Linked DNA regions of Alligator mississippiensis. The protein of the gene in region 1 purifies or fractionates together with the protein of each later gene. This does not show direct contact. Links are inferred from orthologs where the notes say so. Each region holds a gene or a part of one and is shown in the gene's direction. Other genes may lie near its edges.

What was found.
Region 2: the proteins of EXOC6 (region 1) and EXOC3 purify together in Homo sapiens (affinity purification with mass spectrometry; 6 studies listed by BioGRID and IntAct, counting the BioPlex papers as one, with this or other methods). This does not show direct contact. The link is inferred for Alligator mississippiensis from reciprocal best matches to the Homo sapiens genes EXOC6 and EXOC3.
Region 3: the proteins of EXOC6 (region 1) and EXOC7 purify together in Homo sapiens (affinity purification with mass spectrometry; 4 studies listed by BioGRID and IntAct, counting the BioPlex papers as one, with this or other methods). This does not show direct contact. The link is inferred for Alligator mississippiensis from reciprocal best matches to the Homo sapiens genes EXOC6 and EXOC7.

The regions. Positions count from the first base shown.
Region 1 is NC_081829.1:70,363,064-70,373,509, reverse strand, and holds the start of EXOC6 (exocyst complex component 6), read left to right. Parts: upstream 1-5,012; 5' UTR 5,013-5,029; coding exon 5,030-5,112; intron 5,113-10,446. UniProt on the Homo sapiens protein: Component of the exocyst complex involved in the docking of exocytic vesicles with fusion sites on the plasma membrane.
Region 2 is NC_081826.1:146,163,403-146,174,231, forward strand, and holds the start of EXOC3 (exocyst complex component 3), read left to right. Parts: upstream 1-5,645; 5' UTR 5,646-5,750; intron 5,751-8,412; exon of another isoform or gene 8,413-8,591; intron 8,592-10,829. UniProt on the Homo sapiens protein: Component of the exocyst complex involved in the docking of exocytic vesicles with fusion sites on the plasma membrane.
Region 3 is NC_081831.1:13,530,803-13,541,226, reverse strand, and holds the start of EXOC7 (exocyst complex component 7), read left to right. Parts: upstream 1-5,061; 5' UTR 5,062-5,109; coding exon 5,110-5,169; intron 5,170-6,616; coding exon 6,617-6,682; intron 6,683-7,687; coding exon 7,688-7,872; intron 7,873-9,633; coding exon 9,634-9,739; intron 9,740-10,424. UniProt on the Homo sapiens protein: Component of the exocyst complex involved in the docking of exocytic vesicles with fusion sites on the plasma membrane.

The DNA.
Region 1 (10,446 bases):
GGGCAGGCACTGCCCAGCCAGGGTAGGGTAGGGTGTGGGATGGAGCCGCAGCTTGTGAGGGAGACAGAAGCTCCTGCTGGTGTGTGCACACCCGGAGAGTATGGAGTACACATGTGCCCCCAGATCTGCACGGGGTAGGGTGGGCAGGCTACCTTTGTGGGCTGGACCCGGGGCTATGCTGGGCTCTTCTTGTTGGGGGCTGGGCTTGCGGCATGGCCTATGGAGGGGGCTGCAGCCCCGCTAAATTTTGCTCTTCCTGGCACATGGGTGGAAGCAGGGTGTTGACCTGAGGCTGTGCTGGGCGCACAGCAGCAGTGCTGGGAGTGGGACTACAGGCGGGCTATGGTGAAATTTGAGGTGGCTGCAGCCCCTTCCATAGCTCCTGCCTCGACCCAAGCCCCCACCAAGAAGAGCCCAGAGCAGCCCCAGGTCCAGCCTGCAGCCTACCCACCCTGCCCCATGCAGATCTGTGGGCACATGCCCCGCCCCCCCATGCCATCCCAGGGTGCACGCAGTGGTGGGAGCCGTCCCCATCACCAACAAGCCGTGGCTCCATCCTGCACCCTGCCCCACCCTGGCTGAGCAGCACCTACCCCTGCCCCCTCCCTCCTCACTGCAGGGGGCATTGATCTGCCTCCGCATGCCCCTTCCCTCCCTCCACCCCATCCAGCACAGCAGACTTACCAGCTGCATGCAGCCGTATTGGAAATCAGATCGGTATCAGCTGATATGCCTTTTTAAAAATCGACTATCACTATCGGTCCCCAAAATCTCCATCAGTGCACCCCTACTTCCTTTTATTTATTATAGCTGTAAATGATACTTAAAATTACTAAACCTGAAAGAGATGTCATGTTTACAGATTCACAGAAGTTTAGGGCTGGAAGGCACCTCATAAGAAAGATCATTGGGTCCAGCCCCCCTGCTCTGGGCAGAAGAGACTGCTGGGGTCAAATAACTCCATCACGGTGTGCATTCAGTCTCCTTTTGAAAATCTTTAGGGTAAATGCCTGCACCACCCCTGCTGGTCACGTTAACGTTCTGCATTCCACAGTCCTTTTCCATATGTATAGTTAGTTTCCTGTTTGTGTGGGTATTTCACAAAGCAAAAGGGAAAAATTAATTACTTAAAAATAGGAAAATGTGATTTTTAAACTCTCAAAAACTGATAAAGCATAAATATTTGTAATGGCTTTTGGTTTAGTACTTATTACCAGTAAAATATTATTGAATATTTTATTAACACAACGATATTTTTACGACAGTTTTTCCATTTAAAATAAATAAGGCTTCAATAAAAGACCTTACTGAACTGGGCATAGAGTAATTGGCAAATGCTATGGAAGGAGACAGGAAAACAGCAGCTGTGCAACATTCTTGGACACAAAGTCCTCAGGAATCACGAGGTCAACGCAGGGCCTGTTTTTGCATTGCTGATTTTGCTGAGTAGAGAATCATTCTGTTAATAATAATAATAATAATTCCAATAAAAGTCTTTCCCTAAAGTTTGAACAGTTTTGTACTCATCAATGGCTGGAAAAAACAAACCAAGCTTGGTAGAGTTTTATTCTGAAGAAAATCAAGACCAAGTGTATGAAAATGCCCTTGCTGAGATTGAGTCCTTTGAGCTGCCCCTTGGGACCACTTTAAGGTAGGTATAATTTAGATCATGTTATATTATCTAAAATAGATTTGTTCCGTTCTTTGCCTATTATTTCCTTCAGCTCCAAATACCTGAACTCTGGTCATCTTATACTGGAATATATAGAAAAATGGCCTTTGAATTCAGTGGGAGCAGGATTGGCTCCTAAAGGAGCAAACATACACTAGGAGCTACTTCTGTTCAACCTCTTCCCCTGAGGGCAAGGACTTCAGGTACTCTATGAAGGAAATTATTTTAATAAATTATGTAAGAAGTAATAACTATTTTGCATGATGGAATGTTTTTAATTTGATGCCATTAGCTACGTGCCTGAAAATAGGTGACTGTTATTTCCTATACTGTAGATAGACATTATTTTTATTTAATTTTTAAAATACAATAGCATGCATTTAGTGAGATTCCTAAATGTCTGAAAATCTGAGTAATAACACAATTACAATTTGCTAAAAGAAGGCAGCAAATGAAGATAGTTCTGATTATTTTCATGTATATAATGTTTATCTATCTCTATCATAGATTATAGTTGTAAGTTGCATGTAAAGTAGTATGTTTACATTTAATTATTAGTATCTGCAGAAGTTTTATAAATAGCTTGCCTGGCATTGTGGGTATCAGACTGCAGTGAGAATCAGTCAAGAGGAAGAAACCAAATACATTTAGAAGTAAATTTAAATTGTCCTACAACTTGTTTCTGTCTAGATTGGTGATGAATAGAAGGAACACAGGAAGAATTTTACTTGATACATTATTTATCGAAGGAAATTTATAGAGGTGGCCAAAACTGATGAAAGAGTGCCCTTCATGAATTGGCTTCCTCCTGTGACATTGCCTAACCAATACTTTGCAGGAGCTTGTTGACATATAGAAAAAATCCATGTTGCTAAAAGCAGCAATCATCATTAAACCCAGCTGAACCAGCATTAAACATGGTTTAGCCACAAACATAAACACGCTGCAAATCATATTCAATGCCATTATATTACAGTTACTAAAATAGAGTAAAATACAATTGCACCTTGCCCATGTTCTGGAATGGTTTAACTACACGCACCACTGAAAACTGCTGTCAGTTTTTCAGTGCTAGAAAACTCATAAGTGGCCAATCCAGTTTAAAATTAAGCTCTTAAGGTCCACATTTTCAAAAGTTAGCTTCCATTTGTGAACAGATACATTTGCCTAGACAGCAGATGCATCCTGTCACATGAACACTAACAACTCAGGTTTGGCCCCTGGACATTAACAATTTTGTCCCCAGTCTGCCAAATTATACAATTTAAACAGAAAACAATCTAATCCTACTTCACTAGAAAATAAGAACCTTGATGTTACATGAGCCAAGGAGCAGCAGAAAATCTATATATATGATATATAGATCCATGTAGATCTTGACACTTTTAATCCCCAGTTTACCAAATTCTAAAGGCTAAATGGACAGAAAAATACAGCAGCTGCAAGTATGCCAGAAAAAGTGGCCCAAAAAACTCCATATTCAGTACCTAGATCTTGTTGAATCCAGCTTGTTTTTTTTTTTAACCCAAGCCCAAAATTTCTACCATCTAAGAGAAGCTAGTTGTTCCAGTTCCACCGCATCCCTGTTAATAACACTGCAAATGCACTTACACACCTGAAGCTTGCTGTATGCTAATGATTTTTGGCTGAAAGCTTCCAACTTGTATGGTCAAAAAAGAGAAAGCATTTTAATTGCTACTTGATCAAAAAATCCAGGCTCTGACATATCCTGGTGCAAAACCAACACAAGGAGGACATATATCTGACAGTTGGGCTCGGCTGGATCTATAACATTTTTGCACACAGCCCCATGCGAATCCAAACAGATTTAGATCCAGCAAGATAAAGCTAGATTCTTAAAGCTATCTTGACCGCTCTGAAATGCATCACAAATAGATGCAGCGTGACATGATATAAAAAAGGAAGACCGCACTTGCTATTTAAAAGAAAAATCTCTGCAAAGATGCATGAAAAAATGGACCGTTTAAGGCCAGTTAGATTTTTTAAGTGCTTCTGTTTCAGGATGTAAAGCGGGAGACAAGAGAAGAGTTACACTGGACTCTGAGAAGTGGTATTTGTTCTCTGTTATTTAGCCCAGAGATGTGTGGCCGAAAGCCCTGCTGGACTGTGTTTCTGAAGGTAGGGCTGTTCCTGGGGTGGGGGTGTGAACCGGGTCAACCGCCCCGGGGGCCCTGTGCTTTTGGGGCCCCACGGAGCTGGGTGGAGCAGTTGCAGTGACTCCGCGCTGCTGCTGCTGGCTTCAAGTCCAGCTATTGGCATCTCCCCACCACCGAAATCTGCTGCTGAATCTGGCATGTCTGGCCACTCGGCACCCTGCCTCTGGCTCCCTTGTGTCTGGGGGCAGGGCCCTGCACACTGCTCCGGTCATCTCTGCAGGACTGGTGCAGACAGTCCAGACTCTTTAGAGTAGGGGGAGCGGCTGCACTTGCTGGCTGTTCATGGCAGGGACTCACCGAGTTTGGATGGGTTGGGGAGGCAAATCTCGAGCAGATTCAGCAGGGTGCACAGAGGCCTCTCGGAGGTGTTGGGATTCCCAAGGCGGGTCCAACCAGCAGGTGAACTAGGCGGTCGCCTAGAGCACCAAAATTGGGGGGGGGGGGCTTAAATTACACCCAGAACAAAACAGCAGGAACATCATTCAAAATAACGGCCCTGGCCGGCTACAGTTCCACCTTGGTCTAAGACAGGGGTGGGCAAAATGGGGCCCAGGGACTGGATGTGGCCCACCAGCCCTTTCTATCCGGCCTGCGGTGCCCCTAAAAAATTTAGAAAATTAATATTTATCTGTCATGCAGCCCTCAATAGCTTGCCAAAACTCAGTAAGCAGCCCTCCGCCCAAAACAACTGCCCGCCCATGGTCAGCCTAAGACCTGTGGCTCAGCAGGGACAGAAACACCTCGGCAAAGATCTCGGGGGACAGACAGGTCGCTGGGCGCGCGGCTCCTGTCTTGTCAACTCCCGAGCGCACTTAGGACAAGAGCGTGTCGCTGACAACGTCGCCCTAACGATCCTCTGTACTGGCAGCGGCGGGCGCCGAGGGACACAGGTGGCCTAGGGCGCCCTCGGACCGGCCCCGGGCGGGATCCAGCGTCCCGGGCGCAGCAGGGCCACCAGCCCAGCTTAGGAAGACGCGGGGCCAGGTGGGTCCCCGGCTCCGAGGCGACACGTCTGGGTGGGGGCCGCTGCGCAGGGTCGTGCACCCGAGCCCGTACCAGGGCCGGGCCAGGCCGGGCCGGGCAGGCCGCCTCCTACAGCCTCCGCCCCGCGGCTCAGGCCGAGCTCCCTGGAGCCGGCCCCGCCCCCTCCCCCGCCGCCGCCTGGCTCCTCCCACCCAAGATGGCGGACGGTCTCCCCGAGCATGAGCGGATCCTGCAGGAGATCGAGAGCACGGACACTGCCTGCGTGGGGCCCACGCTGCGGTACGGCCGGGGAGGGGGCAGGGCCGGCGCTGGCAGCTACCCGCGGGCCGGTGGGGCCGCGACTGGTGCTGCTGGGGGGCCCGTCCCAGCCCCGGCCCTGCGCCCCCTCAACCCGGCGCCGCGCCTGCCGCAGCGGGGCCTGTCAGCGGCCGGGGCTGGGGCGGGCCCAGGGCTGCAGCGCCCTCCGCAGCGCCCCGCGGCCGTGGGCTCGCGGCCGAGGTGCGGCCCGGGCGGGCGAGCGCGGAGCTGTCAAAGGCAGTGGGTGTGTCTGGGCGCCCCCTGGGAGCAGGGATGTAGCTGCCGGCCCAGGGCCGGTGCCAGCACTTCAGTTTCTCCCTCCGCTTTTACTAGCCCTGGACAGCACCCGGGACCAGCACGCCCCGGGCAGCCGTGCTGGGGTAAATGCTGGGTGTGGGTTAGGGGCTTAAGGCAAAAGCACGTTTCTGTAAAATGAATAAGGGCAGTTTTTAATCTTAGATCCTTGCACCGCAGGGAAATGGAGTTTCCTGAAAGTCTGCTGCATTCAGCCTGGGTTAGATTCCCTCCCGCTAATAATTTAATAGCATTTGGACTTTTTGTGGAAACATTTGGACTTGAAAACAATACTCTCTTTGGCTCTTTATGTCTCCAACTAGTTTTATGCGCAGACTCCAGAAATATTTTTTGCTTTATTGTGGGCAGATGCCCTCGGTACTTTGCGGGGGAGTAGAATGGCATCATGAGGAGGGAAGGACCAGCCAGGTGGTAGGACTGGCCTGTCCTGGAGTCGCGCATCCAGTTTTTGAGATATCTAAAAGAGGAGGAGCATGGAAGGGGTAAGAGATTGGCTGAAGCAGAGAAAGGTGATGACGAGGTTGCCGGCAGTCTGGGAAGATGTTGGAACGTGGAAGAAATGAGGGTGAAGCTTGGGGAAGTGGGGGATGGTTCCAGGGACATGCAGGGGATGTATGAGAGATCTTGGAAAGCTGGGTAGCAAACAGAAGGCCGACAAACTTTGGGAGGTGTAGATAGGAAGCATGCTGGAAATTCAGAGTGGAGCATGGAAGGAGGAACGGAGAGAACTGGGTACTGTAAGAAGAAAGTGGTGAGGATTTGGGAGATTTATAAAGAAAGATAAAAAAAGGTTGAATTACCTGTCTGTTTTGAACATATTAAATGCCTGACATTTATTAGGTATAAACAGTCAGATACTTGAAGTTTTCTTTGTCTTCTCTTCTCTATGTACATTCTAGGGATTTCCTGACTCTCTCAGAAGGTAGGTTTGCTTTAGTGGGTCTCAGTTTTTGTAGCAGGAAGTGTTTCTTCAAAACTGGTCAGATATTAACTACATAGCACTGATTAACAAAAGCTTCGCTACACAAGGGTTAAGGAATTTATGAATACTGCAGAAATATCGGAGTCTTAAATAAAGATGCGCATCTTTCAAGAGCAGAATAAAATCTAAAAGTTTGGGAAGGGAATAGTTAAGGGATCCAAGGTGGTTCTCAGTTGCCATTTTGTATTGCATCATTAGATTTCCGTTTTAACTTCCGCTGGACCAGCTTTAAGCTTGTTCCCTAAAAATTATGAACTTTAAAATGACAAGTTATAGGGAAAGTATGAAATTCATATTTCATTCAAGGGATCAGTTTCAAATAAAACCATTAACTGGTAATGCAACAAAACAAAATATAGGTATGTTAGTTGCTACACATTATAGGTAAAAAATACAGTCAAGTTCTGTATAACCCTGCAGATCAAACAGCAAACAGATTTCTTAACAGCAGTTATCCCATATTGATAAAAATATACTTCTAATCAACCAGTGCATTACACTGTAGAAAAACTTATAGGACTGTGACATTGATAATGCTATCTGAGGCTGCCCCTACAAAGTAGCAATCCTCCTTTAACACTTTTAAACATACTTGAAGCATGCTTTATACTTGTGAGGGAGCTCAAAGCTCTCAGCTGCACAGGAAAATCACCTGTATGCAATACCATTCTTTCTTACAGTTTGGCTGAACAAATCTTTGGATTTAAAGTGTAGCACTGCAGTGTACTTCATAAATGAAAATGGGCCAAGTATCAGAAATAAGAGGATTAGTGTCGCAGGGTAAATAGCTAAGGACCTTTTAGCAGTTTGAGTGCTCTGTAGGGAAGATGATATCCACAGAGGGAACAAGTCGCTCCCACATCAGTAAGGTGTCATTAGAGAACAAATTAAAAGAAACAGGAGTAACATTTAACACTGCAGGGGAAAATGTCACTTTGCAATGAAGGTTGCAAAGAAAACTTTGAGAAAAATGGAGAAAGAAGACCTGATCTGGCTGAGCCAAAAAACATCTCTTCCAACTCTACAGTTGGTCCAGTAATATATATCACTAAAAAAGTTTTGCTTCATTATAGTCTGCAGGCCCTTTGCTTGAAAAAGAACTCTGCAGACTTTGGCTCAAAGTCATAATATTCCAGTAAACACAGATAGCCCTGTATCTTTTTCAAGGTAATTGCTTAAAGGAAAGTGCAAACCCTGCAGACATATCCTTTAGAATACGAGTAGGGTGGTCTGACTATGCAGAGAGTACTGATGCATTCAGAGTGTAGCTTATCGGTACTAGATATTACTTAAGTACATGTATCTGTGACTTTAACAATATCTAGTCTAGTAAATGGTGGCACAGTAATTAGAATAATCTGTCACAAGATTTAAGAATATTGTGCATATTCTAATACTGTTCTTCTTCGTTGAGAGTGTTGTTTCCTAATCGCTTGTCTGTGACACGCAGAGAATTCAGCTGTGGTTATCCAATGACAAAACACAGTTACTTCATTTTTGGCCAGTGGTTTTAGTCCTTCAGGTAAATTAAATGAAATATTGATGCTATTATGATAATCTAAATACATTTCTCTTCCTTCCCAAGTATATAATGAAGTATCTGCACAGGTTAGATTATTTTGGGCCCCTTTAGAGTGTCCTTACATAGGCTGGCTTTTTTTGCAGTGTTTCAAATGGGTGACAGCTGAATGATAGTTTTTTTATTACCATCCTTGGAATGCTGACCTAACAGTGTACATGATGGGTACCTCTGAAACAATTTGCTGTAACTTCAAAAGGCATCAGCAAGAGCTTGAAGTTGTTGCTATTTTTTAGAGCTTAAGTAGTAAAATTGGAAAATGTCTTTCAAAATACACTGTAACTTTTCAGAAGATGGAGATGCATGTAATTGATTTAAAGATCAGTACAATCAATTTATTATTGATGTGCACAGTACTGTGAGCATCTAATTTAGATTTGGTCTATAATTGAACAGCATATCTCTGTTGCATCAATTAAATTCAGGCAAGCTGGTTTTGAGTTTAGTTCTTTTTCATTGGCTTGGATTCTGGCAAATGCTGTGATATTGTTTACATAATGTTGTATTGTTTCGTGGAGGCACCAAGGTGTAGTGCAGTGATTCTCAACCAGGGAGTTTGCAAGAGTTATGCAGTGTGCCACACAATGTTAGCACTCTTAGGTTCACAAACATGATTCACAGGATACATCCAGAGGGCGTGTTCTGACAAGTATGCACATTTGAGGCACAGCAAACTGCACATGGTGCACATGTACCTGTTTGCTGAGCTGCTAATTTGCAGCACAGAATTTTTTCTGACACCAGAAGATCCTGTTGTCAAAAAAAAATGCTGCTAGAAAAAGTGGTGTGGTGCACACAGCAGCAGTGTGCACCGCCCGAAAAAGGAGCCTGGCTGGCCAGAACCACACTTTGGCTGGTGGCCAGGTTCTGAGTGGCTGGATTAGCGCCACTGCTGCTCTGGGAAGCCCCCAGAACCTCATAAGGCTTCCTCTACTCCACCCAGGTCACTTTGTCATGCCCTGGACTGCCTGTTCCGGGGAGTGCCCATGGACACCTAGCAGCAGCAGCACAAATATGTACCACTGCTGTTGGTCTCCTGGGCAATGTGCACCCCTGCATGTGTGTACTTGTCAAGATGCACCCAGAGATTTCAAATAGAAATCCTTAGTTGTGGTCTGAGTTCTTTGCAACAGAAAAGCTGGTCTGTTATTTTTTTTGCTGTCAAAAAGTGAAAACTAAGAGCTGGCATCTTTAGAGGGGTGTCTCAAGGTTGAGAACTATTGGTGTAGTGGTTAGGGCAACCAGCCAGGAAGTCAGGAGATTGGGATTCATAGATTCATAGAGTTGGAAGGGACCTCAGTGGGCCATCTAGTCTGACCCCCTGCCCCTGGCAGGCAAGAAAGAATCACCAACCCTGGGGTCATGTGATCCCAGCCCGGTGCCTGTCCAGTCTCTTCTTGAAGACCCCTAAGGATGGGGCGAGCACGACCTCCCTTGGGAGCCCATTCCAGATTCTGGCAACCCTGACCGTGAAGAACTTTTTTCCTAATGTCCAGCCTAAACCTTCTCTCTAGTAGCTTATGGCCATTGTTCCTTGTTGTTCCAGGGAGTGCACTGGTGAACAGGTTGTCGCCTACTTCATGTTGCTCTCCCCTTATGAATTTGTATGCCACCACAAGGTCCCCTCTCAGCCTTCTCTTGGAGAGGCTGAAGAGGTTAAGGTCCCTTAGCCTTTCCTCGTAGGGCCTTCCCTGCAGGCCTGTAATCAGGCAAGTGGCTCTTCTTTGGACCCTCTCCAGGTTGTCCACATCCTGCTTGAACTGCAGTGTCCAGAACTGGACACAGTACTCCAGCTGCGGTCTGACCAATGACTCATAGAGAGAAAGAATCACTTCCCTGGACCTGTTTGTGAAGCGCCTACGGATGCATGACAAGGTGTGATTGGCTCTGCCAGCTGCTTCATCACATTGGTGACACGTGTATCCTGGAGTCAACAGTGACTCCAAGATCTTTGTCTGCCTCAGTGGAGCTAAGAAGGTTGCCCCCCAGCCTGTAGGTATGATGGCAGTTCTTCCTCGCTAGATGCAGCACCTTGCACTTGTCCTTATTGAATTGCATCCTGTTGCCCTCTGCCCACTTCCCCAGCCTGTCTAGGTCGGCCTGGATCTGGTTCCTCCTCTTCAGGGTGTTAGCTGCACCCCATAATTTTGTGTCATCCATGAATTTGGACAGAGTGCTTCCCACCCCCTCATCCAGATCACTGATGAAGATGTTGAACAGCACCGGCCCCAGAACTGAGTCCTGAGGGTCTCCATTGCCCGCATCTTTGCAGGTTGACACCGACGCATCCACTACCACCCTCGGAATGCAACCCTTGAGCCAGTTTGGTACTCAGTCTACCGTGTAATCATCCAAGGCAAACTCCTCAGTTTATTTATAAGGATGGTATGGGATACCATTTCAAAAGCCTTCTTAAAGTTCAGATAGATAACATCCACCT
Region 2 (10,829 bases), on another chromosome or scaffold:
CCTTGCAGTTTTCCTGCTCATTTGGTGTTGAACGCTGTACTGTTCCTCTTCTATTAATTTCTAATGTGAAAAGGTGAGAAAAGATGTCTTGGAAAAAGATGAAGATATGGTCAGTACCTTTCTGCATGAATTGCAATGGTTACAGAAAGAAGACTTCTGAAAAGAGAAGTCAGCTCAAGGCCTCATTGCTGGTAGAATTCATAAAAACACAATGAACTTTAGAAAATGGCTCTATAATCTCTGGCATGAGGATAAGAGGTACTTAAAATCAAAAACCTTTAATGAAGCTTTAATGATAACTTACAGTTTTTGCAAGAAGTGTGAGGATTCAGTCATGTGCAACATAACCACCGTAATGATCAGGGATCTGGGTTTTCTGTTTGCTGTGGAAAAAAACACGGATTTTCTCTTTTAATGGAGAAAACCACGGTTTTTCTCCTTTAAAGGAGAATATTATGTACTTCTTTTTTAAAGGAGAAAAACATGGGAAACCGTAAATTTCTCCTTGCAGGCTGGCAGAGTTCCAGCCTGCCAGGGCCTCCTTGGGGCTGGAGGAAATGGGGGAGGGCGATCAGAGGCAGGGCGTACCACGTACATGTGTGCACGCAAAAGCATATGGCAGCCAAGCAGAGGTGGAGAGCAGCTCCCACAGCTGCCTCCAGGTAAGTCTATGGGGGCGGGGCCACAGGATGCATTGGCTGGGCAGGGGGGGCATAGACAATGCAATGGGGGGTACACGTGCCTCCCAAGATTTCTGTGCCCACAGCAGGACATGAGGCTGCAGCCAATCTGGACCAACTCTGGGCAGGAGCCACCTCCGCAGCCCAACAGGTGGGATCCAGTGCAGGAGGGAGTGTTGCGCCACCATGGTCATCCAAGTGAGGCACAGCTGCAGCAGGGGCATGGAGCTATGCACCCACTGCTGCTGGGCAGGCAGGGGGTGCCTCTGCTTGGTGATCATGGTGGCATGGCACTCCCTCCCGCACTGGGTCCTGCCCACTGGGCTACAGAGGCAACCCCTGCCCGTAGCTGGTCTGGCCTAGCTGCAGTCCCGTGTCCCACTGTGGGTGCAGAAATGGGAGGGGAGGCATATGTCCCCTCCCACACCCCCAGGTGTTGCCTGTGCCCACGCACCCCTCCCCCACGCCATTCCCCACTCTCTGGGGGGCTGGGAGCGAGGGGCATCAACAGGGCTAGGGTGGCTTGGGAGTGAGGGGCAACGGCATGGGCAGGGGCAGAACATCAGCTTATCAGGGCTGCTCAGCACCACAAAGCAATTGGAGGGAGAGCCTCAGCTAGACCCGTATCCTGCTGAGCAAAGAGGGGCAGGGATAGCTCTGATTTTCTATGATTAAAAAACAAAAAACAAAATCAAATGCCAAAAGATATTTAGGATTTATTTTATTATAATGACTGAGGCACCGGTAGGCTTCCAAATAACTTTAAAATTGTAAATATATCAATAAAACATGGCGTTCAACTCATACCTATATATTTGGTGTTGCATTTTAATCACAGAAAAATGCGGCTATTGGGTTTTTTAATCAGAGAATTTGGGATTTTTTTATCAGACAAAACCAGGATCCATGTAATGATTAACTTCACTCGCCTAGGGTTTCAAACTGCTTAAGATGTTGTAGACATAATATATCATGCTTCTGTCTACCACATGAAGCTGCACTGAACAGTAGTAGCTCTGCCAAGGTACCACACAAGACCAAAGAAGGTTCCTTTGATTCATGAATAGATTCAGGATTTCCCCATTTTACAGATTCTAACACTACTCAAGATACCAATGCTGTATGGTCATCAGCTGAATAATGATGACAAAGAAGAGGACATTCATTTCCTAAAACAATATAAACAAACACATTTTTGGCTCTGAATCTATGACTACTGGGCAAAATATACTTGTAGGGATAAAAATTAGAGTTGCACCAATTTATTGGTCCATATCATATCAACACTGATAAAAGGGAAATTGACATTATCAGCAATCAGCTGTTTTTGGCTGATGTGGCCAATAATGTTGGTGATAAATGCCACATGCAAGCACGTGGCCAGCCCAGCAGCTTGGTGTGCAGTATATGGCTGGTAAGTCTGTTGGGGGCAAGAGGCAGGGGGAGAGAAGGGGCATGGGGTGGGGGCAAATAAAGGCCCCCATGGTGAGGGAAAAGAGGGGATGGGGCTGGGGCAAGTGCTGTCTAGCCAGGACAGGGTGCAGGATGGAGCTGCGAGCGACTCGTCTGTGGGGGTGCTGGAGCAGAGGGTGGCTTCCTCCGCATCTGTGCACAGGGCAATGGTGAGCTGTTGCTTCCTACTTGTTTCCAGAAGTGGCACCAGGCTCTTCCTGGAACGGGGGGGGGGGGGCACGTGGCAGGGCTGCACTTGAGCTGGGTGGCAGTGGGAGGGGGGGCTACGGGGTGGGCTACAGCCCTCCTAACCTCTCCTCCCAGCTCCACTGCCACTCACTCCAAGTGCAGCCCTGGCCCAGCCCCGCCACACCAGAAGAGCCTGGCACCGCCTCTGGCCCCAAGTAGGTAGCAGCAGCCCACTGTCACCCTGTGCACAGGTGCAGGGGGGAGGCTCCCCCAGCATGAGCGGCTTGCAGCTCCAGCTTGCAGCTCCATCCTGTGCCCCACCCTGGCAGAGCCTGCCCCATCCCCAGCTCCCTTCCTCCCCCACCATGGGGGCCTCAATCTGCCCTCTCCATGCCCCTCCCCCCCAACAGACTTACCAACTGGACACTGCTCTCCAACCTGCCAGGCTGCATATCGGCAATTGGATTGGTATTGGCCAATATGGTTTGTTAACAATCAGCCATCGGTATGGGCCCAAAAGATCTTTATCAGTGCACCCCTAGTAAAAATTGTAGAGATTGATAAACAGTTAGCTAGCAGTGACTCTGACATTAATAACAGTGATTCGAGGGCATTGTGAAAACATTACAGAAAATGTTATGTCTGGAGCTTCCTTTCCACAAGGAAAGTATATTTACTGCTTCATGTCCATCAAGATTCAATATAATTTTTTGTAAGGATGAGTGGAAACAAATTTTTCTAACATCAAAATTACTGCTACAGTTAAACAAATGGACAGATGCATTTTGGCCAAAAAATTAAAATAATACAGCATGTTCTGTGTTTTAACATGATTATGTTTAAAAACAAAAACACAGAAATCGAGACAGATGAATGTTCCTTTTTGATACAAAGCAAAATGCAAAATGCAACTGGGATGGGTGTTTTTGGTTCTTTATGAGAACTGAAGGGAGACCAGGAAAACATGATCAACATATAATAAGTGAAATTCAAGTAAAAGGAGAAATACAACACAAAACCGGTAAAATGCATGAAAAGCACACATGCTGGAAAGAAAGAGGAGAATTAAGAGAACTGAAAAAACACTGCCATGCATTTGCATTTTCACAGACCTACATTTTACATATTGGCTTCTATTCCATCCAGGAGAGCACAAAACAACAGCAGACTCTCCCCATGCCTGAAGAAGGGTGTTTGTGCCTGAAAGCTGCAAAGAACAATATTTCCAACTATTTAGTTGGTCTAATAAAAGACAGTCCATGGAAAACAAGATGTTTCTGGTAAAGAATACATAAAACTTTATGTGCTCACATGCAGGACATCACTGCATCACCTTTCACACTGCTCATGTACAGGACACCCACCTACACCTAATGTTTGATCTTTAGAGAGCAAGGGTGTGTAACTTATACCTGGATATCAGGGGCTCTGTTGTTAGAAGACCTCCATCATGTAATCATTTAATCTTGTATTATGAATTATATGCTAAGTTGCTATCCAACTCAACAAACATGTCAGTTGCAGAGACACTAACAGTTGACCAGAGTATTCTAACAATATCACGGTGGCAAACCTTGCTTTTCCAAGCAACTCTTCCACATCACAAAAAGTAAAATGTGACTTCAGTTGGGCTTTAATTCCTACAGCTATTTAGGTTTTCAAGCATATGAGTGCTATACATCACCTAATGCCCACTTTGAATTACGTCCTGGGAAAAGGAAAGCTGATATTACAATTTTACACACATGTGTAACACATATGATCAAATATATGGGCATGTATCTAAAGCTGCAGCTTCTAAGAATGTCAAGAATTGTTTATATATGCCTTTGCCTTATTGTGAACTGAAAAAGCAATACATGAATGCAGGCAATTAATAAACTCAGCATAATTTTCAGTGCAGCACATTTTAACAGACAGTGCAGGGAAACAATAACAAAAGTAAAACAATGTATAAAGAAATCAGCAGACCTCTGTCTCTCAAAATGAGGCTGAATCAGGTTCCTTATTCAAAGTTAATCTTTACACAATTAAGAAACTGGGAATATGGAACTGGGAACAAAGAACCAATCAACTTCAGCTTCCTCTCTCCAAATCATTCTAAACCTTGACTAGGAAACTGTAATTGAAAAGAAACGAGAATCAATTTGCAGTCTCAAAACACATTATTGGAAGAATACTTGAAAATCAAGCTTCAGGGTGGGCTGTGCCCTGTTCAAGGTGCTTCCAGAGAGTCCCCTGATTGCAGAACTATGTCACTGATGGTGACCCAACACAGATTTTGCCCCACAGTCTCAACCTAACTCGGCTCCTTACTGAGCACGGTGTACAAAAGTCCAAGGGGGAACCTGCCAGGTGGCACCACGCTATACAAAAACCAGGCTTTGTGTTGGGCAGCACCTCTGCCTTTTTCTAGAGGGCAGCCACGTGTATAATAAACACAAATGCTTTTAGCTCCTATGGATCTGAAGAAGGAACAGGGAACCGTGAACAAGGAAAGAAGAACTGGGGACCAGGAACCAACTCCAGCCTCAGAGGAAGGGAGAACTGGGCCCATCTGGACAAGATACAGAACCAGGCCTGTCTGGTGAGGTGAGAACTAGGCCGAAGACCTGGGGTCACAAAGAGGTTTGGCCAGTGGCACCCCAGTTTTTTGCCCTGGGGACTGGATGGGCAGGGCGGCAGCCCCATCCAGCCATGATGGCTGGGCAGAGGGGCAGTGGCTACCACTCTCCAGCTGCTAAATTTCCCACCCCATGAGAAGCCCTGTGGGCAGTGTTACCAAGTCTGCTTATAGTAAGCAGAATTAGGCTTGTTTTTTGGGTTTTTTTAAGTTGCTTTAATTTTTGGGGAGTCACGGGTTGATAAGCACCCCTGCTCTCCTCTCTTGGAAACGGGTCAGGCATATTTTGAAAGGCAGTGCCGCTCTCTTTTCTGAGGAGACTTGACAACACTGGCCCTGTGTGGGACACCAGGGCACGGCCGGGGTACGTGAGCCACGAGCAGGCGGCAGAGCATGGTCAGGAGGTGCAGATGCTTTGGCCACTGGGATCCACTGCCGCTCACCCCAGGCCCCGGCCAGCACCTGGCTCGACGCCTCGAACCCACCCGCTGGCCTCCACGTGCAAGAACATCGCAGGCGCGTCCGTGAGCACAACACTGGTTCTCGCGAGACTCCCGCCTTCCCCTGCAGTACGCCCGCACGGAACAGAGGGGAAGGGTTGGCGCAGGCGCAGTAGGTCAGTAGCGACGGTCGAGCGGGGCGGGGGAAGGGTTGCAGCGCAGGCGCAATGGGGGGGAACGGGGGAGACTCGCGGGCGTCGCTTCGGCAGTTGCGTCAGGCGCCTGCGCAGTGTGCGCCTGTCAGCGGCTGCTCGGGGCCGCCGCGGCAGCGGGCGAAGTGACAGGGCCGAGCCGGGCTGCTGCCGGGTGAGTCTCCTCCTTCTCCTCCTCCAGGGGCCCGGGGCCGGGGGGAGCGTGCGGGACGGGCTGTGACGGGGGTTGGGCAGCGGCTGTCCCACGCCTCTGGCCCGCGGCCCTGCGCAGGTGGGAGCTTCCCTCACCGCTGGCTCCGCTACAGAAAAATAATCGTCTCTTGAGCTTCGCTTGTGAGCCGTGTTGGGGCCCCTCGGCGCTTCTCGCAGCCTCGGAGGCGTTTCAAGAGGCTGCAGCGGGGCCAGGTCTTACATATGAAGTGATCGCTTTGGAAGCTCCAAATTATCGTATTTGCTGAAACGCTATCACAGATCCGCAAACAAGCACGCAAGCGAGTCTTTTATTGCTCACTACAAGCCGTCAGTGAATGGGTGGGAACTGGGTCGTCAAAGTTGAGTCATTTCTTTCTTTCAAGGCCAGCCGGCATGAGAAAGTGCTGACAGCAAACCTCAAAGTGACTTCAGGCTCCCAGAGTGACATGGGTTTTGCATGTGCCATGTCAATGAACTCCCCAGCCCTGGCTTCTTTACTTTTCATTCCATCCAGGAAGAGCACACACCAACTGCTGAAACTTCCTTAGCCTGACGAAGGGTTTTTGAACTCGAAAGCTTGCTTAATAACTATTCTCCAGCTATTTGGGTTGGTCTAATAAAAGATATCAGATTCGCCCAAGGAACCTTGTCTGCCTATGTCCTTAGACCAACACAGCTAAAACCTACACCCCAAAAACTGGTGTACATTTTAGCAATCAGGACTCATAGTAGAGATTATATCTTTTATTAGACCAGCAAGATTTTTGCACGCACAAAAAAAATTCTTTAATTTTTTTTTTTTTTTCAAAAATCTAGTTGGTATAATGAAAGATACTATCTCTACTACGAGTCCCGATTGCTTTTTTCTCTAGACCAATATGGCTACAGCCTGGATAACATCATAAATTTTAAACACTTTTCCTGTTGTTGGTTGTACATCATGCAAAGGTTGAAATTATACAAATAGGATAATTATTACATGCCTGGCAAACTGGTGCCATGGTGCCCTGGGGGAGAAGCACTGCCCTGAGGCTTTGTGCGTAGAGGTCAGGTGTTCTCTGACAGGATTTGTTTCTTATTCAGGAGGCTGTCTCACATCCCACTGATGCTCTGCCCTCACTTTAGGACAGTGTTCATGCCCTTTACAGACATGGGTGACGCGTAGGGGGTGTGCCAGCAGTGAAACCACTGCACTTCCGGTTTTGCTGCTGGCTCGACGATCCCCCCTGTCAGTGATCTGGTGCACCCCCAGACTCAGGAGGCACCAGTCACTCGTGCTCACAGATAATACGGCCCTAACCTCCCATTTCCAGTTTTTCTTTCCAGCCAGTGTGGATGGACAGCAGCTGAATGTGGCAACCTTGCTGTTGAAATAAGTTGCTTTGATCAACAGTGCAAAGGAAATTAGTTTTCACAAGTCTTGTTTAAAATGAATGTGGTTAGATTGGGAAAAAACACCTTGTTTACTAGTAGGGACCATTTCTGCCAAGGAAAGGCAGGAGCTGTGCTCTTGTAACTGCGTTCTTAATGGGGATTTCATGTGTGTCACTATTTTGGTTCAGAAAGAAAAGCAGACCCCCAATTGAAATGGTTATTCCTATTGAGTTTTTAACATGGACCAGGCTTATATTATGTAATTCATATAAACAAGGTGTGGCTCTTTTCTTGGCAATTCACTAGGAATTGTAGGTGACAGTGGTGTTAGGATAGAGGCTGCAGTCTTGTTTTATGGTTTCTACTTTCCTTCTATACTACATGTATCTAAAAAAGGCCCTAATTTTATGCTGACAGTTGTGTTTCATTTGAATCTAGGAGTGATTTTTTTTTTATGTTTCCAAAATCATGTTGAACAGATGATGAGAATTTACACATTTTCTGTTATGACACATTCTTGTTCTTAAAGGGCATTCTAACATGTCAAACTGAGCATGTGCATATATACAAAGATAGCTGCAGTACTGAATGCAGATTAAGTGCTTTTGCACATGTGTTGTTTTGAAATGCAGAGTACTGGGAGTTTCAGAAGACTATAGTTTGTGTGTTTGCATGTGCGTGCAAACATGTTTGTGTTCAGTAGGAGTTTTTTTTAATTTCAGAAAGATGTACAGTTTGTAGCATCACCTTATAAGACCAACAGTCTCTTACCAGCAACATTTTCCTAGGAACATTTTTCAAACCATATATTCAGATGATACTCCCTAAAACAACAAGTGTCACTTAGGAGCAACATAATTTGTAGAAGGGATTGACTGTTCTGTGAGTTTGTATTCCCCTTTTATTTTTAATGGGTTAACCAAAGCCTTCACTATGGTAATGAAGCTGCCTTGTGGCAAGGATCTTTGATTCTAAAGCTTAGAGGTAATTAGAAAAATCTTCGGGGTGGAGGGAGGAACATTATGGACTTCCTTTCCTTTTCCGTGTCCTTCTGACAAGGTATTTAGCAGAATTCACAGATACGTTGGAACTTGACAGGGCTGTGCCATGAACACTTCTGCTATGGCCTCAAGCTTGCAACCTCTGGGCTGTCAACCAGTGGGATGGAGGAAAATGGGGCAGAGACCTGTCTTAACCCTAAATTAAGGGACTCTTTCAGAATGGCTCTTTCTTTCTCTTGTTCTCCGTAGAGATAGAAGTTGAGATAGAAGTTCCTATACTCTCAAGACTTAAATAGAAACACTGTGAGGAGTTGGTGAATAAAGGGAGTGGACATCTTTGGAGGCTGGTTTTGGCTCAGTTGAGCAATGAGACAGAGGTACCATTTTGGAAAATTTGTGAGATTCTCCAGAGAAGATGAGACTGGCATGTAAGTAAGGGTGCACCGATAAAGATTTTCTTGGACGATGCCTATAGTTGATGATTAGCCAACCACACATGCCAATCCGATAACCAGTATTTAGTAATAGTGCAAGGCATGCTATTGACATAAACCTCTTTGTTTTGCAACGCACACGCACACACACCCACACCCTTCCTGCCTGCTCCAGCCCTTGATGAGGAAGGTGGTGACTGCCTTTTTCCCACATATGTTGCCCCCTCACTCATGGCTCTTAACCCCAGCCCTGCTCCCCACACAGTCTATGCTGCCATCCCGGGCAGGCGGGACGAACCCTTGTGTGGACAGCAGTGCCAGGGGCATTTGAAGCCCAAGAGCATGCTGCTGTCTCAGCATGGTGGGCCCTGCGGAGCCAAGCTCTAGCAGTTGCCAGGGAGAAGCTGCTTTTGCAAAGCTGCTTGATGAAGTAGAATGTCCCTCGCACAGTGCCTTGCCCCTCCTGCATGCAGCCCTAGTGCTCAGGCCCCTGCTGTGCACATTGCTTTGCCATGGCAGCAGCAGGAGCTGGGAACAATCCCTTTGTTGCTGAGCAAGGCACCCTGTGACCGCTCCCCGGTGCCTCCTGCTGCTCACTGGAGCCTATAGTCTGTCATGAGATCAGGTCAGTGGCAGAGTGCAGGAACCAGACTACGCTTGCCAGGGTGCTCTGGGCATGCCACTGTAATTATCAGCTACCACAATTTTAAAAAGTCAGTAGCCAATAACATCATTTCTCCTTTTATCAGTTCTCATCTGATAGCCAACTGATATATCACCCCTACATGTAAGCTTTCAATTATGAAAACTGGACCAGAATTACTAGGAATTAAGTTTCAGTACATGGACTTCTCTATTATTTGGATGATTTGGGAAAAAGAGAGAGTGAGATAAATCTCTCAAAAGGAGTCATTTTTAATATTGATTTTTCTCAGCTGTAACTTAAAAAAAGCAAAAACAAAAAAAACCCCTATTCCATATTCAAACAGAGTTGTAATCTTGAATGTAGTAACTTTTGGTGTCTAATAAAAAGCCTGAATTTTAACTTTAAATAAAGAATCCAACAAATCCTGAACTACGGAGCTTTCAATCTACAAGTCCCTAATAAAACAAATGTGTATGTTCAATTTGAACACACAGTCAAGAGAGTACAGATTACTTGGGCCTCTTTCTACCAATTGCAGTTTTCCATTTAATCCAAAATGTTCTGAGATTTATTTTTTAAAATGATGTATCAAGGTGAAATAATGGTATAGCAGATGTGTAGGCATACCCTGAGATGAATAAAATCTGTGTGTGTTGTCGTAAGTTTCAGAAGTGGAGACCGGATGTTTGGAAGATAACTTTTAGTATTATCTTTGACAGAGAAAGCACAATCTCTGGAAAAACAGTTATTGTAAAGTTTCCTGGTTCCGTTTCTTCTTAGTATGATTTCCCACATAATCTATTATTTGATATTTTACTTTTCTATATTCAGAATCTTGCATATCAAGTTTTGCAATTTGTGTTCTTTTGGAGGAGTATTTAAAGCTTTAAAACTTTTTAAAAATGCGTATTCTGGAAATACAAAGCAGGTCAATAGTATTATTCAGATCTTTGTCCTTGAGTCGGAGCCACATTCCCAGATAGACAGAGGAGGCCTTTGTTGCTGTTGAAGCTTGATAAACTAAGAAGCAAGAGCCTTTATGTCAATTCTTTCTCCAGTATTTGCAGAGTGGGTATTGTGCCTTTTACTTGGTGTAATAGATTGAATTGGCAGTTTGGAGATTCCTGGTTTGTGAAAGTACATAGTTAATCTCCAAGATGGCCCAGGAGACTCCTTACAGTTTTATGTTCTGAAGTTGTACCTAATTCCAGGGCTATTTTAGTGCCTTAAACTTGGGCAGTCATCTATGTCTAGTGATGCCAGGAGATTCTAGATACGGAGGACTGAATAGTGGCTGTCCCCAGACAGAAAGTAATTAGTTTGGGCACCAATTTCTTCGCTGCCAGAGATTTTTGTTGTAAGCTTGTTTTTGTTGGTACCCTTGAAAAGTCTGACCTCTCCATCAGTTCCAATATTTGTGGATGACGTTAAGTGCCACTGTCCTTGGCTCTTGAGCATAAGGGTAAGAAAAAGCAGGATTCAAGGACAACTTCTTATTTGGAGTATTAGGGGGTGAAAAAGAAATAGCCTTGTGTGTTCAATGAGTTTGTAAGTAGATGAAAGGTTTCTGTTTGGACTTTGTCTGT
Region 3 (10,424 bases), on another chromosome or scaffold:
TTCCCCTTTCACCTGAGTACCTGCCGTGCCCCACTCAGGAGGGGAGGCATTGACCCAGTGGACACCATTGGCCCCAAACCGGTTTGGCCTCTCCCACAACAAGTCTCAGCTCTCCACCCATCTCTCTCTGGCCAAGGGCTCAGAGGTTCGCGGTCAAGTAGCAATGAGGAAGTATCGCCCTTTTGTGTAGTTGTGCAGCTCCACGTAAGTAGCTGGAGACCAAAGCTGGGCATGGCAGGGCAAGGGGACAGGGTGGTTCACGTGCTCTTTCCTCTCCCACCTTTTGAGGGTCCTTGCTTGGAAGTTGGACCAAGCTTAATTTCTAGCTAAGGAACCAGCAGGGACTAAGCACCAACTGGGGCCTGGTGACTGGACTTACCTTGCACACACTGTGGGGCCCTGCACTGCAGATCTGGGCTGAGCGGGTGTTAAACAGGTGCAAGGACAGTGTGGGTCCCATTCACCTGCTAGAGGCCCTGGCTTGGGGAGAGCCGTGTACCCTTTCTGCTCCCACTCCTCTTCAGCTTCGACAGCAGCCTGGGAAGGGACATGGATAAGGCAGCATGGGGGAAGTTTTCACTGTGGCTGTCCCTACCCATTTGGCTTTTCAGATGGAAAAGTTTGGTGTCCAGGCCTGTCAGGTAGACCATCGCATGCAAAACCTCTTCCTAGGAATTTCTTGCTAGGTCTAGGTATCAGGGACACTGGAAGGATCAAAGGCTGTCACTCAGGTGAGGACAGGCCTGGTTCCATCCTGGCACAGGTTAAGCAAAGCCCACCAGACCTAAAGACCTGTCCCACAGGTGGAGATGAGACCACTGACAAGCCCACAGTTCAATGTCCTCTGCCCCTGTGATGCCAGGGCAGGCTGCTCCTGCCCAAACACACCGGCAGGCCTCAACCTTCACATAGGGAGACTGCTGCTCCAGGGAGTGAAGTCAGCAGTCATGCTGAGATGGATAACAGTGATTTCTTTTGTTCTGTGGGCATTTCCTTCACCTGGGTTACTGAACAGTCATCAGCGGGTGACTGTTTCCAGCCATTACCAGTGTGGCATGGCTTGAATCTGGAGGCCTGGAGATGAAGCGCTCAATATCCTAACAGCACATCGGTGGCAGAGCCACACAATCCTACAGTCTTTTTTTTCATTTACTTTTGGAAATAAATATTGGGTTGTTTGTTTTTTTTACTTTAGCAGACCCTCATTCGGTGACCCTTTGCATTTTATTAGCAATCAGTGCTCTGTCTGACAGTTTATCTTTCATGCAGTGATGAAAGTGATTTGCATTTGGTCTGGTGCTGTACGGGTGAATGGTGCCTTACCAGAGATTGATGCTTATCTGTGGTTTTTATTTATAGTACATGCTTGATTATGTGACCAACTGATTATTGGCAGGTGCTTCCTAGACAAGAAGATTGGTTCAGAGACTACAAGCCCTGCCCCTTCACAAGACCTTCTGCAACATAAATTCAGTTCCTTGCTCCAGTGAAAACAGTGAGGGGAGGTTGGGTGCAGGAGACAAGGGTTGGTGCCTGAGAAATGGCTCGCATGGTTCTCTTCCCCCAGCTCCTCCTTTTTCCGTCAGTGGGCCAAGCCATCCCACAGGGGGTGAGCAAAGCCTTTTTGCTGGTCTTTTACACATCAAGTCCTATTCAGGAGACCCTCACACAATATGATGGTGTCAAGGGCAGGGTCTAGGCAGCACCTCTAGCATCCAAACCTTATAGTGGATGAGTGGGACAGCAGGAGGAGCAAACACGCACAGTAATTCCATCCTGCGGAAAGAGGATGGATTTCCTGAAGCTCTGGTTAATGCCCCTTTCAGCTATATGACCCCTTAAACAAGCCTGCAAGCTAAGACAGAAAAAAACACTATTTATGCAGCCAGATCAGCAATACAGCAGAAACACAGCAGCAGTTTGGGGGGAAAGAAACAATTCCAATATTGCTGTGGTTCCGCTTACGCCTCAGATCTCATTAAGATAAAGCATGTCACTGCTGCGGCAATAGGGTACAGGATGCAGGCACCAGATCAGCAGAAGAAGAAGGTGACTTGAAGAAGTTTCTATCTATATATGTCAAACAGACCTCTCCAGCCCTGCCACCTCAGTTGAGCCTGAGAAATAAATATGTTAACGCAGTCACCAGCCAGCAATTTTGCATGCAGAAAACACAGTTATATGCCCCCCCATTCAAAGAGGCAGTTGCACAAACACAGCTGTTTGCCACATGATAAGGCTTTCTGCAATAGAAACTGAAGTTACTGAACAAAGGCTAATTTCAGCTCCCACCAAGCTACAGGGAGAGAGAATAATCAATGTGTGCCAAAGGGAAGACAAGTGAGAGGGGGCTTTTCCCTTCTCACTCAAAGTCTCCAGGAGGGCTTAACCAATAGCAAATAAAATCAAGCCACCCAGAGTAATGGGATGGGGTCTCAGCCAAGGGCAGCACCCCAGAAACTGCAACAATCCTGATTGCTGTGAGCAGCACAAGAGGCTGCAAGAAGAGTCAGTGCCAGATGCAGTGCAATTAAAATCCTGTCCCTAGCTGCCAGCAGGGGACAGAAGATGGATGCACCAAGGGGCATGGTGCTCTTTCTCCTCAAGAGGCTATGCAGGATGGATCTGGAGCAGGGTTAACTGGATAAGGATTCCTGGCTTCTGGCCTCATAGCTATAACTGCCTTTTTATGGGGCACCAGGCAAGCCCCTTTTTGTTTCTCCCTCAGTAAAATAAGGCTGATCATTCCTACCCAGCAGAGCAGCTCAGAGATGCCATTAGTTATCGGGAAAGCCCGTTGACAGGTCAGATACTTTGGAAGGGCAAAATCCAGTTGCTTTAATTTTATGACCAATGTGTCGCCTAAATCAGCTCTGGCCCCACTGTGCTTGGTGCTGCCTACATAGCAAATGATTGGTGCTCTGATTTATTAACAAGCATCACCTCAAGCTTCCTTCTTCTCATGCCTATGCTGCTCCCTACTGTAGTGCTGGATCCCAGCTGCAAAGAGCCAGCAAGGGAAATTCCCTCCTCCTCTCTTTATGCCAGGTTTCTAGGCACAAGCAGTATACTCCCCGGTAAGCTGTCCATTTCCCCCTTCCCTCTTGGTTTTTTGACTTTATCACACGCAAATCTATTTAAATTGTATGCAGATCTGTTCTCAGTATGGTATGATATTCAACTCATTCGGCAGCATCGAGATCTTTTCTCCCACTGCAAATGAACACTAAAGATAAATAGCAGGTGCGTATGGCGAAGCGGGGAGAGAAAGGGGCAGTTTGGATACTTTGCATTTGTTAAAATAGTTTTGCTCCATGGCTACTGGAGGTCCCTGTCTCCAGTTCTTTCACGTTGGTGCTAGCCACAGAGCCTCTCTAGCTGTCTAACTCTCCCCCCTTGAGGATGTAGAGAAGGAAAGTTGGTGCCAGGGGACATCTGGTGGACATGCTGCATTTTGCACAGTTCTGGCACTTGAGCAGGGCTGGGAATTGATCACGTTGCTGTCACTCTCCTGCCATCATCCTCATGATCACAGTCATGATGTTGGACTTCCAGTTCTCTCAGCATTTTCCACTTGGAAGGCACAGGTCACACTGAGACCTGCTGGCAGCTAGAGGCTCCCAGGGGATGCTGCCTATCTCTTCTTACATACTTCCAATCTAGCAAAGTATTTCTGTGCCCCTGTTCCCCGTAGCACCTGAGAGCCTCTCTACTGCAGCAAGAAAAGACTGCATCGGGATGAGAATTATCAGGAGGAAGGTATACGAGGTCAGGGTGCTCATGTGAACTCCTGAAATGAGAGGGAGTGTCTAGGGACCTCCTCTCATCTCCACGTGCAGGGGGAGCAGTGCACGGCACCTATTAGGGCTAATTGGCATTTCTGTGCGTCAGCAGCAGTTAGTCAGGCACTGAGGTGAGAATGGTCACCCTGGCATTCAGTTATTTTTTAGTGGCAGCAGCAGCACAAGGCACTGTGACATCCATTAACAGGGCTGAGCACTTTTATGGCCTTTCCCATTCAAGCATTGCAGAGTATGTGAAAGCATTAATCTTCGTGATGCCTCTGAGAGGTTGGTAAATGGCATCTTCAGGCACGCTTAGAGCGAGAGGAATAAATGATGGGATAAAGAGATTATCCAGCATTGAACCAGAAAGTCAGTAGCAGCACTAGCAAAAAGAAACCAGGGGCCTTTACTCCTGATTCCCTGCTAGTCAACATCACAAACTTGTGGATAAGGCACAATATGAGGTGCTTTATCCATCAGCAGTCCTGGGTTTTCCAGGGCCAAATGTCAGGCTGTCCCAGAGTTCTCCAGGACTCCCTCTCGTGGGATGCAAGCCCCAAATTTGAACAGCGAAGCCCAGATCGGTATAGGATCAGGTCCAGCATTGGACAGGCCCGGAAGCTGACCAGCCGCTGCCAAGGTCAGGGCTGCTATTAGCCAGCTGTGGGCCTCAGAAGCGTCTCCTTGAAACGTGGTCACTTGAACCGGAAGACTGGGAGAGCCTGGGCCCAAAGCAGCCTGCTGGGAGACGGGAGAGCAAATGTACTTCATCGCCTTGTGCCTCAGTTTCCCCAGGCAGAACGCAGAGGGAGGTGCTGCGCTCCCGGGTCGAGGACTGCCACCCAGCAATGAGATGCCATGCAGGGGCCAGCGAGGATCGTGCACATGGGGTACGAGAAGAGAGAAGGGCCCTTGATGCATGCAGGTGAACCTCGATTTTGCCTGACACTGCTCTAGCGGAGGCAGTAAGAGGTACAACAGCCAAGGCATGGCATGGCACGCGCACCACATTCCTCATCTGCTCCCTACTCATCACTAGAGATGCATGCAGTCAACACTCCTGGAAAGCAACGACACTCCCAACGTGGCCTTCCCCGGGCCACTGCCACTCCCAATATGGCCGCTCCCTGGAGGCGCGCATGCGCCTTGTGTCCCTATGCAGCGCACCTGTGCGCCGGTTCCCGCCACTCCCAAGATGGCTGCCAATGCCGTAAGGGGCGGGAGGTTGCCACTCTCAAGATGGCGGCACGGCGGTGACGGGGCCGCGGCCGGGTCGGGCGGAAGTGGGCGGTGGAGGCTGTTGCGGCCCGGGCTGTAATGCGGGATGGTCCCCACGGAGGAGGCGTCCGCGCGGCGCAGGGAGATCGAGGGCAAGCTCAAGCAGGTAGGGGGGCGGGGCGGGCTGCCGTGGGGGGGGGGGGGAATTTCCCCGCCCCGGGCCTGGGCGCACACACCCACCCCAAAGCACACCCTCCCGGCTGCAGGCCTGGCACACCCCACGCTGCACCCCCGTCCTGCCCCGGGGCCCGCACCCTGATCCGGATTAAGCTGCAGCCTGAGGAGCACCAAATGCAGTCACTGCAGCCCCAGCTTTGGGGAGCTGCACAGCTGTGGTGCGCCCACCCTCCCTACATGTCTGTACACATATGTGCCATGTCTGCGTATTCGTGCGCTGTACATGTATCTGTCTCTGTGTGTTATATGACACGAGTAGATATACACATGTACATGCATGCGCTCGCTCGCTCTCTAGGTATAGAAAGGAACTCACTCGCTCTTATCTATATATTGAGAGAGAGAGCGAGTGTGCACACACGTGTGTATATTTGTGTGTCCTAAAGAAAGCCTATGGTCAATGGAGAAGAGCGAGAGTGCACAAAAACATACCTGTATGTGTAGATAGATATAGAGATCTCTCCATGTAGGTTTATATCCGTATCTAGCTCTTTATAGATATAGAGATCTCTATCTAGATATAGATATATATCTTATCTATGGATGTCTAACTATAGATCTATCTATATATGTAGATACACACACACACACACACACACACACATGTCAGCATATATGTAGATGTGTGTGTGTGAATGTATATATATAGAGAGAGAGAGGGAGAGCGTAGGCTTGTCAAGCATGGCCCACAGGCTGGATCCGGCCCACAGAGCCCTATGATGCAGCCCATGGATCCCTGGACTGACTGCACACACTGCATAGGGCAGGTCTGGGTCTGGGCCTTGGCCCTGGCCCTGGCTGTGTGTGCTGCACGCGGTGCATGGTCTGAATCCAGCTCCTCCCACTGCACGCAGCAGACAGGTTAGTTCAGGGTATGCACTGTATGCGGTGCCCTGCCAGACTGGCACAAACCTATCCTACCATTCGGTTTGTACCTGCTGCGTCCATTGGTGGGCACAAGGCAAACTGCTGAGCCATGTTTAAATTGAACTTGGAGCATGTCAGACACGGAGTGAGCAACATAGGTAGGAAGCAGACACTAGGACCAAAGTTGTGTCTGCGCTCTGTACCTGCACCATAGATTTTGCTTCTGGCTTCCGGACTGCAAGCTGTACGTTGTTGCATTGAGGCTCATCATGCCCAAGGAGAAAACCTTCCCTTATTTAAATTGTGTGTTTAGGTCACACTGATTATGTTGCTTTCTTTGGGGTAAATACATTTAAGTAGAACCTAAATACTAGGTCTAGAATGATTTGCCAGGATGTTCCTTCTAGGAGGAGTTAGAAATGCTGGGAAATGTTTTGCCTCTGAGCTTTGGAAGTTCACCTGTGCTGCAGAATTGATTTTTTTTTTCTTTCTTTCTATACCAATACCAGGAAGAAGAAACACTGTCTTTTATAAAGGAGAGCCTGGAAAAAAGTGATCAGCTCACAAAAAACATGGTAAGTCAAATCCCTTGAATTCAGTGAAAAAAGGAAGGGTATAGTTTGCTTAGTATCTTGTTTATATTGTTAAAACAATGGTCCAATGAACAAATTACCTAGAGATAAATTGGGGTGTGAATTTATAATGTTTCAGGTGCTCTGTGGTAATTGCCCATGTGTGTGCTGTTGTCTTGCAGTATGTGAGAAGCATTCCCTGCTTCCGTGGAGGGTCATGTCCTATTTGCTGCAGGGTTGTAGCATGCATATAAGCAGTTATCATGCAGTAGCTGATCTGTCAACCTGTACGCTATCTTACTGGGTAGTAATTTGTTTGTCTGACCATACCTTGATAGGATTTTTTGGGGAAACTGATGCAGTTTTTGGTACCTGATATAAGAGTTATAAGATATGTGATGTATTAGACCTCTTGGTGAAAGAGGAAAGGTGATAAAGGTAGTTGGTTAGAAGCCTGTTGTTTGTGAAGCTGTAGTCTCTCTAGGTTCCTGTATATCTCCCCTCATCTGAGTGTCTCCCATGTATGTGGAAATATAAGTAACTTTCTCTAGTCAGCAACAAGCTTATGTTGTTGAGTTTTTCTGTTTCTATTTTTTTAACTGTTAAAGAGGAATTTATTAGCAAGCTGGGTTGAAGAGTTGAGTCTTGCACTTAGTCCTGAATACAGTGATTTTTGTGGCTTTTTATTAACTCATTTGTTCAAGAGTTCTGTAGCTGAGGTCTGTCTCCTTAAAGATCTGTCTTCCTATGCTTGTGAGCCTTTCCATGACTGGTTGCCAGTCTCATGGTTCCAGTGCGATGCAGCTGATGTTATGAAACCTACGTGTAGAGAAGAGGAGATGAATTGGATCAGGATAGACAGGTTAAGTGACTTGCCTAGGGAGCTGTAGTAAATCCATAGTAGAGTGGGAATAGAGGCTGGGAGTTCAGGATTCCCTGCTCCCTTCTCTAATTGCTAAGCCAAAACATAGTGCTGCTGTCTGTTCCCCTTTTTCCTTTGGCTTGTAGGTTTCCATCCTTTCCTCCTTTGAGAGTCGCTTGATGAGACTGGAGAACTCAATCATCCCTGTGCATAAGCAGACCGAGAATCTGCAGCGCCTGCAGGAGAATGTTGAGAAGACCCTGTCCTGCTTGGATCACGTCATTAGCTACTACCATGTGGCAAAGGACACTGAGAAGATCATAAAGGAAGGGTGAGTACAGCTGCAGTACACTGCTGTCCTCAGCTATGTTGCTGGATCTCATTGCTGTTTAGAAGAGTAGGAGTTGTTGGATCCCACAAGGATCTTGGTGATCTCAGTACTCTTTTACACATTTCCAAGACCTTCTTCCCACTGCATGCTGCAGACATGTCAGCCAGACCTATCAACAGTGCCCCCTGAGGGAAAGAGCTTGCTCTTCTCTCCATGCTGTTCATACAGATTCTGCACTTGGTCCCCAGGCCAAGTTCGAAGCCAGACTGTGGGTTCCATTCCTCACATTTCCTACAAAACCTCTAGCTTCCTTGGAGACTCCACTGCCTTTTTAGGCAGGTTGGACTGGGGACTCTGCTTCCTCTTTTAGATGTTATTGTTCCAATGCAGCTGTGTGATATGCGCGGCTTCCTCTTTGCTAGAAGCTGTGTGTTCTGCTTACTCAGCATTCTCATCATTTGCTGGTTTGGGGAGAGACTGATGGCTCCAATCTCCTGTAGCATTGCAGAGTAAAACTTACAGCAGTGTTAGGCTACCCACTATTTTATATGTGAACTGGATCTTTTAAAGCCAGCTGTTCCAAAATGCCTATTGAGAGAGCTGCATAGGTATCAGGACACAGTAGAGGAATAGTGTACTGCACTTGCATGTCTCAGATAAATGCACTGTTTTGCTTCATGGCATGACAGTGCCAATCCCGATTTATTACCTGTTGCTTTTGCTGTAGCAAACTTCAGTTTTATGCATCTTGGGCCACTGACAGACAGTAAAAATAAGGTGTGATAGAATCTCATGCACGATCCCATGCAAAGCAGGAGGTGATTGTGGGATCAGGCATCAGATCCCATCACACCATATTTCAGGGTAGGGGGAACCCAGGATCATGATCTTGGGTTTGTCTTGCCCTAGCAATCATTGCTCCTGTATGTGGGAGCTCCATCAGGTAATGGCACAGCCAGCCATGGGAGCTCATGGTGCACCCTATGGATGGGAGCTCCCAACACTGACAGGACTCCCAGCCATGGTGAGGAGCACCCTGAGCTCCCACAACTGGCAGCTCTGTCAGCAGTTCAAGGCTTCCCCAGCTGGAACGCTCGGTCAGTGGACCAGTACTCCCAGCTACACTCCAGAGACTGGAAGCACTGGCCACCTGTTCAATTAAAGACATGATAGGAACTAGCAACAAAGTTATTACATAAAATATGTGTAATAACTTTGCTTGTTCTGGGTTTTATAACACCGTCAATGGAATGAACATGCACCCATGTCGCTACTTAAGACACATTAACAAGTTTAACATCTTCAGTGTTACTATGTGTCAGGGGCCCCAGATAAAGGCCAAAACAGCTTAATCTTGTAAAAACTCAGTGGTACCCCCACTGCTTGTATCCTGTTTAACTGCAGAATTTAAGAAACCAACTAGGAGCCAGCAATTTAAAGGCTTCTAAAGCAGCTGGTTGACTAAGTCCTGCCAATTCCAAGGTTGCTGTTAGAGGTGTAATGTTTTCTAAGGGACAAGGGCAGGACCTTTAATGAACACACAAAGCTTAGGGCAGGGTGCGCTGTAATTACTGAGCATTGGTTACACTGAGTTGGGGTAAGTGCCCTGCTGCATGCCAGTTGTGCATTTAAAGGGAACACTCAGTAACAGCAAAATCCCCTTTCATCTCAGTGGGAAGCTTTTGTTCCAAACATTGTCCAGTTCTTCATTAGTGTCTGCACTTGCTTCCTCCTCTCATCCATGCCCAATTTCCACTGCAGCCCTGCAGGGAGACTGGTGGAGTATTTGGCCTGTTTGGACAAAATCCAGAAGGCGGTGGAGTATTTCCAAGACAACAATCCTGACAGCCCGGAACTGAACCGAGTGGTACGTAGCACACTGGCAGATCCTGGCAGGTTATATGGATACATACTTGGCTGCCAGTTGCCCACCTGCCAGTTGCTGGCAAAGGGAGATACATTGGCTGCCTGCTTGTAGGAGCAGTGTTTCAGATTCCTCCTCAGTTGCTTAGCCCAAATTTGAAGCACCGTATTGGTTTGCTCTTGCATCCTGTATTGGGAAGACCTGTGGTAGCTGAAATCCTGTATCTTGTCTTCAGCTAACTTGTGTATTTATTCCTGTCAAGGACAGAACATTTTCCTTAATACAGAATCCAAGACTTGCAATCTTTCAGAAAGCACAGGAAGTTTGCCAAGGTGTCCAAGCAGTGGCGTGCTTTGAGTTTGCACAGGATGTAAATGGAGGGCTTAAATCCTCCAGGTGCCTTTTGAGTCCTAATGAATTAGCTCAGTGATGTTCAACCTAAGGCTCGTGAGCCAAATCCAGCCCACAGGGCAATACCATCCAGCCCATGGGCTCCCCCTGGGTTCAGAAATGTTGGCAGCAGTGGAGCGTTCAGGAAACTTCCGCCACCAAATTTCCAGACTCTTGGAGGGAGCCCTGTGGAGCGATGCAGCCCCTCATGCTGGGGCATAGGGTCACTCTGAGGATTGATCCAGGATGCAGGGCCAGGTTGGTTTACTTAGTCACACCTGCTGATTGACCCATGTGC